Linked DNA regions of Arabidopsis thaliana. The protein of the gene in region 1 interacts with the protein of each later gene in a pairwise test. Each region holds a gene or a part of one and is shown on either strand. Other genes may lie near its edges.

Evidence for each region. Proteins that work in one complex are often made in the same cells at the same time.
Region 2: the proteins of AT2G31220 (region 1) and DYT1 interact in a two-hybrid assay, tested with the Arabidopsis thaliana proteins (one study listed by BioGRID).
Region 3: the proteins of AT2G31220 (region 1) and AT1G10610 interact in binary tests that used the Arabidopsis thaliana proteins (3 or more experiments, as listed by UniProt).

The regions. Positions count from the first base shown.
Region 1 is NC_003071.7:13,300,709-13,305,425, reverse strand, and holds AT2G31220 (basic helix-loop-helix (bHLH) DNA-binding superfamily protein), read right to left. Parts: upstream 2,761-4,717; 5' UTR 2,674-2,760; intron 2,453-2,673; 5' UTR 2,413-2,452; coding exon 2,406-2,412; intron 2,354-2,405; exon of another isoform or gene 2,311-2,353; coding exon 1,493-2,310; intron 1,399-1,492; coding exon 949-1,398; intron 867-948; coding exon 765-866; 3' UTR 557-764; downstream 1-556.
Region 2 is NC_003075.7:11,347,969-11,351,250, reverse strand, and holds DYT1 (basic helix-loop-helix (bHLH) DNA-binding superfamily protein), read right to left. Parts: upstream 1,330-3,282; coding exon 1,150-1,329; intron 1,076-1,149; coding exon 878-1,075; intron 803-877; coding exon 557-802; downstream 1-556. UniProt on the Arabidopsis thaliana protein: Transcription factor. Involved in the control of tapetum development. Required for male fertility and pollen differentiation, especially during callose deposition.
Region 3 is NC_003070.9:3,504,648-3,509,562, reverse strand, and holds AT1G10610 (basic helix-loop-helix (bHLH) DNA-binding superfamily protein), read right to left. Parts: upstream 3,378-4,915; 5' UTR 3,101-3,377; coding exon 2,991-3,100; intron 2,685-2,990; exon of another isoform or gene 2,532-2,684; coding exon 2,334-2,531; intron 2,255-2,333; coding exon 2,191-2,254; intron 2,114-2,190; coding exon 2,045-2,113; intron 1,965-2,044; coding exon 1,530-1,964; intron 1,427-1,529; coding exon 1,226-1,426; intron 1,148-1,225; coding exon 971-1,147; intron 883-970; coding exon 811-882; 3' UTR 563-810; downstream 1-562. Other genes in the region: PERK11 (Protein kinase superfamily protein), read left to right, coding at 61-222, 320-562; AMSH2 (associated molecule with the SH3 domain of STAM 2), read right to left, coding at 4,373-4,547, 4,629-4,681, 4,764-4,826.

The DNA of each region.
Region 1 (4,717 bases):
GTAAGTTAAAATTGTGATACACGTCATAAGCTTTTCACAGACATACTTTATTTTAAATGTGAAAATAGACTTCAAAACAAAAAAATACACATGAACGTGTTCGAAATAGGGAATAAGCAAAAAGGGTGACAGACAACGAGCAAAGACAAGAGCGTTGAGACAAAATCACATCCTTGTTTTTTTGTTTTAGATCTAAAACAAATTAACATTCACTAATTGATAGTACATTTTTTGTTTTGTCAAAGCCTAATTGATAGTACACATTATTAAATAAAAGCTTAAACACGTAATTCAACGGTAAATGAAAAATCGTAAAAAGAACCAGATTAAAATTGGCTCATTGTAAAAAGAACCACTGAAAATGTAAGCAAGTTTCTTAATTTCTAGTTAGAAAACCAGAATCGATAAAGAAGCAATGGTTTATAAATTCCGGACTGATGATTATTCTCAAACTTTTCAAACGACACGGCCCACTGGCCCATTAAGAGCAATATGAAACGTAAGGTAAATATGAGCAAGAGCATTTGTTAAAAAAAAAAACGCAAGAGATTAAAATGTGGTCGAAAAACGAAACCGATAAAGCTAGAAGAAATATATAGAGTTAGACAAAATCCAGACAAAGAGCCTCAGCTCTAGCTCTAACTTTAACTCTAGCTAAATAAACTTGAAAATTACCAAAGTGATTAATAACTTAATCAGTCATTAGAGGGGTATCACAAAAGTTATTAAAAAGCAATAAACTACTCCATAAGTGTGTCTGGAATCTAGTAGCCGTTGCTAGGAACAGCTTCCATGTACTGCTTCTCCACGACCTCCATCAATGTGTCTGCAATTCCACTTGCATACACACAAGATCCTTCACAAATCTGCCTCAAACCAAATTGAAAAAGATTAGTTTATTGGTTTGGAGTTAATAACAGAACTATATTAGTGAGACATTTTCATTACCTTAGTGTTGAACAAGAAGCTGTAATGTTCACCAATCTGTCCACCTGCAACATGGTGAAGATCTAGCTGAAGCTGATCAAGAACTTTGGTGGTGAACAACAAACAGTTAATCTTCTTCTTCTGAACAAGCTTGATGGTTACTTCATCATCGATTATACGTACATCGACCTCAGTGACTTTCGATTTCCTCTTAAGCCATGAACATCTCAGTGAGTTGTTGTTGTTCTTGTTGAAGCAAGACTGGTCTACTTCGCTCTGTGGCTTGTAATTCACAGTGTCTTCTTCTTCTTCTTGATCTTCTCCTCCTCCTCCTTCACCAACTCTAGCTCTCTTCTTGCTCCTGAATCTCCCACATCTCTTCTTCTCCACAAGCATCTTAAACTCCTCTATTGTCCTTAAAAGCTCTTTGATGTAATCTATCGCCTCTCCAACTATCGATGCTCTATCAATCTACAGAGATTAAACCAACAATGTCTCTCATTTCATAGTCTCCTCATACACATTAACAACATGAATTGAAATCAAAGCAAAGTAAAGTATATACCTTTGTGGGATTTGGAATGAGGTTCTTTAAGTCGAAGAAACGATCATTGAAGTGAACTCGTCTCTCACGTTCTGTAGGGGAAGTTCTCGACTTTCTTGATCCTCTTCCTTTACGAGTAACTCCATTGTTAAACTCAAGAATCTCATTCTCAAATCCACCATTGTTGTTGTTTGCTCCTTCAAAGTACAAAACATTCATTCCTCCATTAGCATCCATCTGAATTTGATCTTCAACTCCAAGTAAACAAGAGCCGTTTCTTAGCTGGTTCTGATCTCTAGGCTGCATAGGGAAATTCAAATGGAAGAGAGGGTCGTACATAACAGCAGCAGCAGAAGAAGAAGACATAATGTCTGAGAAAGAGGTAGGTAGCATAGAGGAAGGATGATGATTAGGAGGCAATGAGCATCTAGGCAAGTGTAAGAGACTAAGCAAATCAGGAGTTGTTGCAGAGTTAGGTCCCAAATTCACAAAATCCTGATACCCATTATCCCAATTAGAGTGTTGTTGTTGATGTGAAGCCATTTGGTGAATCAAATTGTTGTGGAGTTGATCACAAGGAGGAGGTGGTGGAGGAGGAGGATTGATGTGAAACTGGAGAGGTGTTGAAGAAGCTTGAGGACAATCTTGTGGGCTGAGATGGAATTCAGAGAGCTCTTCTACCTCAACACTGCAGTTGCTGTTGCTTGTGCTTCCGGCAACCAGAACTTGCGGTGGTGGTGGTGGTGGTTCGGCTTGAGAGAAGCTACTCTCCACCGTAACTTCTGCTGGAGTGTTGGGATCGAAACAACCCATTTCCTCGTAAAGGCTTTCTCTTTCTTCTGCGTTTGTAACTCAAACACTAATTTAGATCTTCCAGAACGAAAAAGGTAGCAACTTTCATGAGAAATTAGACCAAATAATGAAATTTTGTTACCTTCCATGGAAATGGTTCAACGAGTACTCTAGATGATTCTTTAACACCTGCAAATCAAAAGTAACATTCAACAATCTTTAAGAAGAAGAAAAACCAAAAATTTGAAACTAATTTCAAAAAAAGTTAGCTCTTTTATAATTTTGGAAACGAAACCATAGAAATGTTTGTTAGGATCCAAAAGATTAAACATTGGGTTAAGGGTTTGAATTTGACAATAGATAGAAAGAGATGTAAGATAATGAGTAATCAGAGCTGGGAAAATTAGAACCTTTGTTACAATTAATTCTTCTCTACGTCTGTCTTCTCAATTTTCAGGAGAAGAAGTAAGTTTTTTAAACAAGAGTCTCTCTCTCCCTCTCTGTGTTTGAAATATACGGACATTTGTAGATGGAGACACACAATACAATAAGGGTAAAAAGATGGCAAAGTTAAATTATTGGATAACATGTATATTCTAGGTGTCTAATTTAAACGAAAATGTTGTATATAATCCATTAAGCTATGTTTCTAATCCAACTTTGATGCATGATTTATTAAGGTTTTGATTTGTTACATGGTTTGTGAAATTACTTCTTGTTTATAGTCATTTTTTAAATCATTTTCTATGCAACTTATTTTTTGATTAATCATTTCAAATGTTGAAACCTGATTACCAAATACCAATATGATCCTAAACATATCTTTTAACACTTAACCAGTTGTAAGAAAATTAGCATTGTATATATTTCTTTTACGTTATAAGCTCACTTTTAAGAAAATATAAATTGGGTTTTTTTTGGGGGCTGTTTTGGTTGGAGCATGTGATTTATCATTGTGGCCAAACATAAAGGTTGGTTAGAAGAATCAACAGATGGGTCCCTTGCCGAATCTCTCAGGTCTTTTCAACGACTTTAGGGGTATTTCCGTCATTATCAGCAAATACGATCTTCTCTCTGACCAATATGATATGGGCTCCACTAACTCACACCGACAAACCAAGTAGCCCCGTTTGCTCTTTCCCATTTCTACCCTTTTCCTTTCATTTTAGTAAAATTTGGATAAAAATATCCCAAATACAAAATTGTAATTGATAAAAGTATTTTAACGCGAAACTATTTTCTTGTCTTAGATGTATGTTTTACTTCTATAATTAATCTCATGTTTAATATGTGTTATGTTTATGCAATCGTATTTTATTATATACTCGAATTGAAAAAACTCTTCGACTTAATACAAGAACCAAAAATACTAATGCACGGTTTAAATGGATATGTTTTGTATATAAAAAGTGTTCAGTTTTAATTTATGGATGATTAACTACCTTATCATCAACAATCATGGAATTATTTATCACATCATCTAGTTTGATTCATCTATACGTTGTACATGGCATTGATAAAACTTATGTATGTATATCATAGTTAAATAGAAGTATAAATACTTAAACCCCTGGGTTTTCTAATTTTATAAGTAAACTGTGTTCAACAACTAAACCATCATAGAATAGTTTCTATCTCAAACACTTCCTGTAATGTATATCGACAACTCACTTAATTAATCTAATTTAACACTTCCTTTCTTTGTGTATAATCGATAACATAAAATGATAAAATAAAAATTCATCCATAAGAAAAATATTTAGATACTTGAAGAGATGTATAATAGAGAATCTGGTAAAAAAATAACATGGACTGTATTGAATATAAATAATTCATTTCATTCATATATGTTTATATTTCAATCTTTTCTATTAAATTTTTCTAAATAAATAACAATTTTGGATCAAACTAATTGTATAAGTTTCCTTGTTGAGCGGTTGGGTCATGCGATTTCTGTTTATAGCAAAGAGAGCGGGTTGTTTGAGAAGTAGTGGAAGTAGGTCCCACATCCAAGAATGGGATAATAATATACTTTATATTTGATTTAGTAAAAAAAAGAATTAGGGTTATTCTTGAAATTCGACAGAAACTGAAAAAATTCTGGTCACCTACCTCTCTCGTACACGGTACACTGCGACTGTCCCCATCCTAACTAAACAGTACAAACTCTGATTACTCAGAAAATGTTAAAATGTATTGCCGGACCAAACCAACGATTTGGTTTTTGATATATTAAAAATGTAGTGCCGCTTGATTCGGTCCATACATAGCCAATAGTTTCAGAAAAGGGGTTGGGTTGGATTCATTTAGGTAATGAATCGTATCATTTTTATTTTATTTGACGGTTGCACTACAGATATTTCATAGAAATTGATATTAGTTTAACAGGGCCTGCACTTCTCTAAAAATTATCGGTCTACAAACCCGACTTAACCGGTCTAAAACACACGTCAC
Region 2 (3,282 bases), on another chromosome or scaffold:
TCATTGAGAGTGGAAACTATAAATTATTTTATATTGTTAATCAAATATGTCGTGGAGTAGGGAAAGTCAGAGATGATAAAGGTATATTATTATTTTTATAAAAAAATAGTTAATAGGTTAGGAAAATGTCTTTTGATTTTGGCTCTATTGAATAGTTTTGATATTTGAATAAAAAAACTTAGGTTTCTACCAACTTCCAACCTTACACAAATGAACATCACTATTCACTACTCACCATTTGGATGGTTGAAATTAAATGGGCTCAACTTGAGAATGGCCCATTTAAGAGCTAATTCATTCTAAGCCCATTTTAAAAAGAAACCCCCATTGCTCGGATCCTAGAGATAATATCTAGTGTTTTCTTTCTTTGACCTCAAACAGAGGATCATGAACATTTTGCAGCAACATATATGAAGACAAGAAGAAGCTCATTGGCTTGTAACACAAACTCTTTTTCATCTGAATCATATCATATTTAAAATGGAACAACAATGTAATAAAAACCAATGGAAATGTTATTAGATCAAGAAATTTCCAAGATGTATATAATTAATACTTATGGATTGCTTCTCATAACTTCCAAAAGAAAATCTTTTGTCTGTTCAACATCACAGAGTTCCTGTGTCTGAACAGAGGCACTAATAAGAATTGCTCCATTTGAAGTTGTTAGACTAATATCGATAATCTCGAATCCGAGAAATCTCATAACCTCCATGAATTTAGTAAAGATCCCATCTCTCTTCTCTGTTATGATCTTTAACCAAAACTTCCTCTCCCCAATCTTACACAATTGCACATTCTCCTGTCCCAAAAATAAAAAATCATCAAGAAAGATAAAGAAAATGAATCAAAAATCGATTAGAGAAATTTTAAAAACCTCGATTCCGAGTTTCTTCATCTCTTCGTTAAGATCACTAGTTTCAACTTCAGGTTTTATCATTGGATCCGTTTGTTCTTCATCAATCTCAGGAGGAGCTTCTTCCATTTCATGAAATGTCTCTAAGAGATTCTTAACATTGTTTTGAAGCTCTCCTATGTAAGTAATCGCATCTTCAACAATACTTGCTTTAGTCATCTGAAAACGAAACAAAAACAACAACAATCATCACCAAAATACCCATAAAATAATAATCGAGATTTGGGACTTACGTTGGTGACAATGGGGACATGAGATCGCAGAGCCATAAGCCGACAATGAAGCTTCTCTCTTCTACGTCTCTCTGCTTCAAGATTTGGAGATTTGAAGTTTTCATCTTCTTCCTTCTCTTTTGTTACTTGTTTCCTACGGCTCATCCTCACTGGTTCTTGAAATCTGCTTCCTCCACCCATTTATTTCTTCTTCTTTGATAATTTTTCAGACAAAAGTGTTTATATTCTTATTTATGTAATGGTGGTAAAAGACATGAGTTATATAGTTGCTTCTCATGTAGATAGAAGTCTGTTAGTGGAGAGAGAATAAAAGAGAGAATCTTAGTCTCAGTTTGTTATTAAGTGAATGTGATTTCAGTTAGAGTCAAATACAGAGACTAAAATAACAATTTTTGTTTTCATTATAGAGAGAAAAAACAATTTATGACGAATTGAGGAATCTTCTTATTCAAGGGTTCAAAACACGAATCCTTACAGACAAAGGAATGGTAACATTTCGAGTCCCATCAGTCCAAGTGAAACTACCAAAGAAAAAACCAGTGTTACTCTTATGACTCGACGAAACCCTAACTTTAAACCCAAGTTTCTTCGTGTTCGAACAGAACACTAGAGTCTCTGGTTCAACAACAATCTCCACACCTCGCGGAGGCTCGACCACGGCTCTGTAAACTGAGTCCACAGGTCCAACGTTAGTCACCGTTCTTGTGACGGTCACTTCTTCTTCAAGGTCGGGAATCGTGATGGCGGGATAGTTAAGATCGAGGATAGACGGTAATGGAGACGAGCATTTTGTGGGTTTTCCCGTGATTATAGTGATTGATGTATCGTTGTAACCAGTGGCGCAGAAATAGTGAATGTAATCGTCGATGTTCATGTCATAAACTAGTCCTGGATCTTTGGCTCTTTCCGCGTTCACGAGTCCTGCACCGTAGTCAAATGGATCAGCCAGTTTCCGTGGTTCTCCCTCCGCAAAGATTGGTTCCCCGGATGGATCAGTCTTCCATGCTATAATAACAAGAGAAGAAACTCTGGTAAGATTAAATTAACGAATGGTGGTTTTCTGGTGAGGAGAAGAAAGTGGTTTTCCATTTTCAAGAACCTGTAGTCATAATAGCAGATTTTAGCGCAGCAGGAGACCAGTCAGGGTGTAAAGCTTTGAGTAGTACGACGAGCCCCGCAACAACGGGAGTGGCATAGGATGTCCCTGTGCCTAGAAAATAACCGCCGAAAGAATCGGGGTAGGCTTGAGATGTAGCTCCTAAAATCGTCACACCAGGGGCTGCTATATCAGGCTGCATCATTTATAAACCCAAAGAAATTTCCATCATTAACAGGTGATCCTTAAATTGGAAACGACAGACAAGATTTTGAAACACTGTTTAGGGAAAGAACCTTGAGAATGGCAGGAGAGAGTCCATTAGGCCCTCTAGATGAGAATCCGCAAACTTGAGTCGCAATAGGACGTCCTACGAGCGTTTTACCAGTACTAATTTTAATCGTGGGAGAACTGAAGAGACCGCAAGCCATAAGAAGATGATCAGTTTTACATACTCTATGTGACTCGGAAGGATGATCAATCACAAAAAATATAAAATAAAGGATAGTATACCTTGACGAGCGGATGTATCGTAGAATCTTAGCTCCGACTTCATAGTCTACGTAGATGAATGGTTGATTATAGACAATATCACTTTGATAATCACCACTTCGTGCCACGATCAGCCCCGCCGCCTTGTTGATAGTTGTAGTCGCCAATGCGCTTGCCATTTCCCAATCTTCTTTCACAAACGTCAGGACAACTTTTCCCAGCATGCTAGAGGTGTCGGTTTTATAGTGTTCAATGTAAACTAAACCAGCAGATACTTCCTTACCTGTATATTGAGCTTGACCCTGAAACAGTTTTTAAGGGAAAAGAGTAAGTTTCCAAGACTAGTGAAACCCGATGGTGAAAAGACCTGAAAAAACATTTCACATACAATTATGGTAATGTTATTTCCAAAAGTCATGTCTGCATAAAAGGTACGGTCTATGTTAGTTGCAGCGACTGTGAGCATCCATGGGAATACATTAGCCACAGTGTAAGCTTCGGGGCCTGTATTAGAGGCACCAGCTATAACCGGAATGCCCTTCATC
Region 3 (4,915 bases), on another chromosome or scaffold:
TGTTTTCAATATAAATGAAAAAATCTCATGAGGGTTGAATATTTGTTGGTTTTTTGGCAGGCACGTCCAAGGCTAATCGAGGCCATTGAAAAAGGTGACATCAGCGAAGTAGTGGATCCACGGCTAGAGAATGATTACGTCGAAAGTGAAGTCTATAAAATGATTGAAACGGCAGCGTCTTGTGTTAGACATTCCGCTTTAAAACGACCTCGTATGGTTCAGGTCAGAAATAGAAACACTTCTTGACTTGACCTAATAATATACAGCTAGAAAAAGAAACAAACCATCTGATTGATCAAGAGTGTTTCTCTTTTTGCAGGTTGTTAGAGCTCTGGACACGAGAGATGACTTGTCGGATCTGACAAACGGAGTTAAAGTGGGTCAAAGTAGGGTCTACGACTCCGGTCAATACAGTAATGAGATTCGAATTTTCAGACGAGCCTCTGAAGATTCCTCGGATCTTGGTACTAATACTGGCTACTACCCTAGCCAAGACTACGCCACTAGCCATGAATATGAATCTGAGAGCCGAGCCTTCAACACAAGTCACCGGAACCATTGAAACCAATAAATTAAACTCAAGTTGTTGTGTTTTGTTTTTCTTAGTTCTTAGGGACGACGACCCTTTAGAATTATATTTGTGAAAGATCTTAATGAAAACCCAATGACAAACCAGAAGAATGTATAGTTTCAAACATGTAAACTGTCACCTAAAAGCTTGTGAGAAATCATATCTCTAGCAGTAACTTGTGACTGAAGCAAACAAAACATTTGACCTTTTGAGGTTATGTACTCTGTTTTACTGAGTTTTCATATTGAAGTTATCATCATCTTGAGCAGTAAATCTCTCAATATTCCACATGCAATCCCGTCTTTGTTCGCCTAAGAATGAATAAATCCAAAACTGTTTATCAGAATTCAAGAATCTGAGATTACGTGCAGGGGCAATGAGATGTGATTACGTTACTACCTTGACATTGAGAACGGTCATGACTGTGAGATCGAGTCTGGTGAAATTGACGTCAATGATCTCAAGTTCACATAAATCTACAGCTTCTATCAACCTCTTGAATCCATCTTGTTTATGTTCCTGCACAACCCGAATCAAGAAATCTCGCTCACCAGTCTCGTGGACTTCAATTTTCACCTGAAAAGAAACCAGAGTTTGTGGGATTTTACAACTCAGATATAGATTATCTTGAAGGTCTATATATTCGAATAATACCTCGTTTTTCTTCACTCTCTTGTTGCTTTTAGAGGAAACTCTTTCAGCTTCTGGATCAGCTATTGCAGATTGTTCCTCTGCAGCGATTTCTTTGCATTCCATCTCATTGATTCCTTTAAGCTCATCTTCAAGTTTCTGCTTCTCCACTAGCAGTTCATTGATGTAATCAACAGCATCACTGAAAATTCCAATTTTGTTCAACTGCATATAGCACAAAGAAAGATAAATATAATAATCCTATGGAAAGTGCTACATTGACCACAAGAAGAGTGATCCAGAAACTGCATTGAGTTTCAGAAGAAACCTTTGTGATTTTAGGGACTACGGCTCTTAGACCATACATGGCCTGATTAATTCTCTCTCTTCTTTTCCTCTCTGAATGAAGGTTCTTTGATTTGAAGTTTTCCGTAGGAAGCAGCTTCTTATTAGCTTTGGAATCGTTGGCATTTTGCACCACAACATCCTTTTCCTTGTTCATTATCAAACACGGTGTTTGTTCCTCCCTGAGAATTTCCACACAACTAGCATTCGGGTAATTGCCGAAAAGATTCTGAGTTTCACTGGAGGGATTGGAAACACTTGATGATCCGCCGCCCTCAACGCTGAGATTCACACCGCTACTCATAGATTCCTCTGCTCGGGGAATGATCCTGAACTGCAGCCTTTGTTCAGGGAATGGTTCAAAGAAGGTGGTACAACGCGACATGATCAAATGCACCATGCTTTCATCAAACGGTCTCTGATACAGACCAACATTTTATGAAGTAACCACCAAAACCAATGACAGACTTTCTATGCGAAATGCTAACATGTTTTTACCATATCGAAAGCGAACAGCTCAACGAGACCATCACTCACAGGAACAAGAACACGAGTGCTGAACATTTCCTGCCAAAACACATGGAGATCAGATTGTTCTTATGATCAAACGAGTAAAAAAGGCTGACGAAAAGAGTCTTTTTTACCATTTTAGATCCTGAATTAACCAACCACTTTGGAGATTTTGACATCACTACTTCTCCATGAATCCTGCAATTGAGAAAGAAGCTTCATATTATTCTTGAAGAAAAAATTAACTTGAAAGGGGGTTGAATAGATGGAAACATACCCGGGATAGAGAGGCATGAAGAGAGGAAAACGAGAAAGCGCTTCACAAGCTAAGGTTCTTATACGATGCTTGTTGTGGTCATCTCTACAGAAAGAAGCCTTCTTTTTTCTCCCAGTTCCTCCTTCTTCTGAGTTTTCAAGCTTTATATTCTTATCAATATAACAACCACTGCAGCAGCATCCCACCCATTCAATAAACCTGTAGTTTAAATGGAATTCATACCAATTACGAGATGAAGATCATAAAACCCACAAACTTTTAGTAAAACTAGACAAGACAAAACCAAGAACAGGAGGTAGATGGTAAAGCAAAACAAACCATAAACCATTAAAATCAAAAACCAGATGAGCAAAAAAAAAAAAAAACAGAAACCAGAGAAATTTGATAGAACAGAGCCAGAAGTTACTAAGGACTAATCAAAATCAAAAAAATGGAAACTTTGCTACTGAAACAAAATAGTTTCAGGAAGCCAATAACAGAGCAAAAACAAAAAAAAAAGTCCTAATTCAGAAAGCAAAGATAAAAGACAAACACGAAAAACCCATCAGTATACATAAAAACGGAAGCTTTGCTACTGAAACAAAATAGTAGACAGCTGATGATGATTCACATGAACAACGAACAAATAACAAAGAAAAACCGGAGAGTGTGTTGAACCTAGAAGGATCATCACCGAGTTTCCAGATAACACATAAGTCCCAAGTTCTGGAATCGACAAAGGGTCGAAGAAACTCCTTCACTCTCTCACCACCTCTCATCATCATCATCTCACTCTCTCTCTCTCTCTCTCTCACTCTCTCTCTCTCTCTCTCTCTCTTACTCTCACTCTCTCAATCAACAATAAGAAAAGCCAAACAAGAAGCCTGAGTTTTGGTGATCTCTTTTGGTCTTACTTATAAATTGATGCAAGGAGAGAGGGAGAGAGAGAGAGATATTTGGCATATATATACAAAGCAGTTGCTCTGTCAAAACAAATCATATCGGGAATATACGATCGTACAAGACAATGGTAACCAACTTCACTTTTTGAATTAAAACCCAGAGAGAGAGAAAGAAAGAAGAGTGAATCGTCTGCGAGTCTCTGTACCCAAATCCGTGACAGAGGTGACTGTGACATCTGTAGAGAGAGAAGATAGGGTAAGAAAAAGAGAGGTTTTACTCTTGACTGTACGAAGAAAGCTATCATGTGCTTGAAAACGGCCATAAAGGGATTTGAAGCAAAACAAAGTACTGTATCTGTATGGGTTTTGATAGCAACACTCAACAATATGAAATGAGCTAGCTTTTTTTTTTCTGATAAAACCCATCCTCTGTACTATTTACTTTAACAAGGAAAGAGCTTTGATAGCTTTATTACTTTCAAAAGAAAAGTTTGGACCTTTGGTTCTGTTTTTGGGGTTTGTACTCTTGTTTCATGTGAAGAGAGGTATTTGGAATATGTCTTTACCAAAAAAGAGCTCAAAGATACCTTTTAAATTATTATTACAGCTAATTTATGGCTATTTTGTATCTAATTAATCAATCAAATGAGAAATGAAAAGAATGAAACTTGAATCAGACGAAAACTGTCAAAATGAATAATTTTTTAACAAGTCAAAGCTCAAGTTTAAAATTTTCCCGTCCTTTTTAAAAGCTCAACCATTTTCATCAGTCATCACTGGCAAGTTAAGAGGTATAAAATGGCGAAATATGGTGATAATATTAATGTAGTGTTATATGGAGAAATAGATGCCAATGTATACATTTGTACAGATATATAACAATTGCATACGCCAATACAATGTCTTATGTCTATGGTCATTGTTGTTCTTCCATAATGGAACCAATTGATCCAAATCTAAGGACATGACAATTTATTAACATTGCTAAGCTTAATAGAAGGTACCTTGTGTTCATAACCCGAATCAGACAGCCTTCTCAGACCAAGTATACAGTTCTGGTTAGGGTGGTGGTTATGATGACGGTTATTATTGACATCCTTAGCCCACAGTGGATAAAGTTTGAACCTTTTTACTGATAAGTCCACAGAAGTCGTTACCTTAACGTAGATCAAAAATCTCGAACCTAAGGTTCGAGTTCTTGTAGACGTTTGAGCAATGCTCATAAACTGGGTTCCCATCTTCTGGTTCTTTGTGCGGGTGGAATCCAGTCTCTGAGCAGCCTCTCAGTACCTCCATTCCTCCAGGGTCCGTTAGCTTAAATATCCCGTAACTCCTGCCAAAAAGATCAGTTTGAGAGTCTATCAAGGAAATATGTTGACTGTATAATTGACTCCATAGCTTTGGAAGAACATACTTAGAGCTATCAGTTGGAGCTACGACGATTGCAAAAGCCTCTGGCACCATTACCTAAGAATGACATGATGGGAAACTGAGATCAGAATTGTCTCAAACCTAGTATATATGCAATTTGGAAACAGCAGAGATGTACCTGATACGAATAATGTGTATGCAGATCTACAGATGACATGAAACAACCCTGAGAAGGATGAGTCTGGAAAATATGCATAACCTCGTTATAGTAAGTCAAGACAAAGTAGATAAACAGATCACTAAACATGGAGGGAGCTAGAAGAGAGAGAT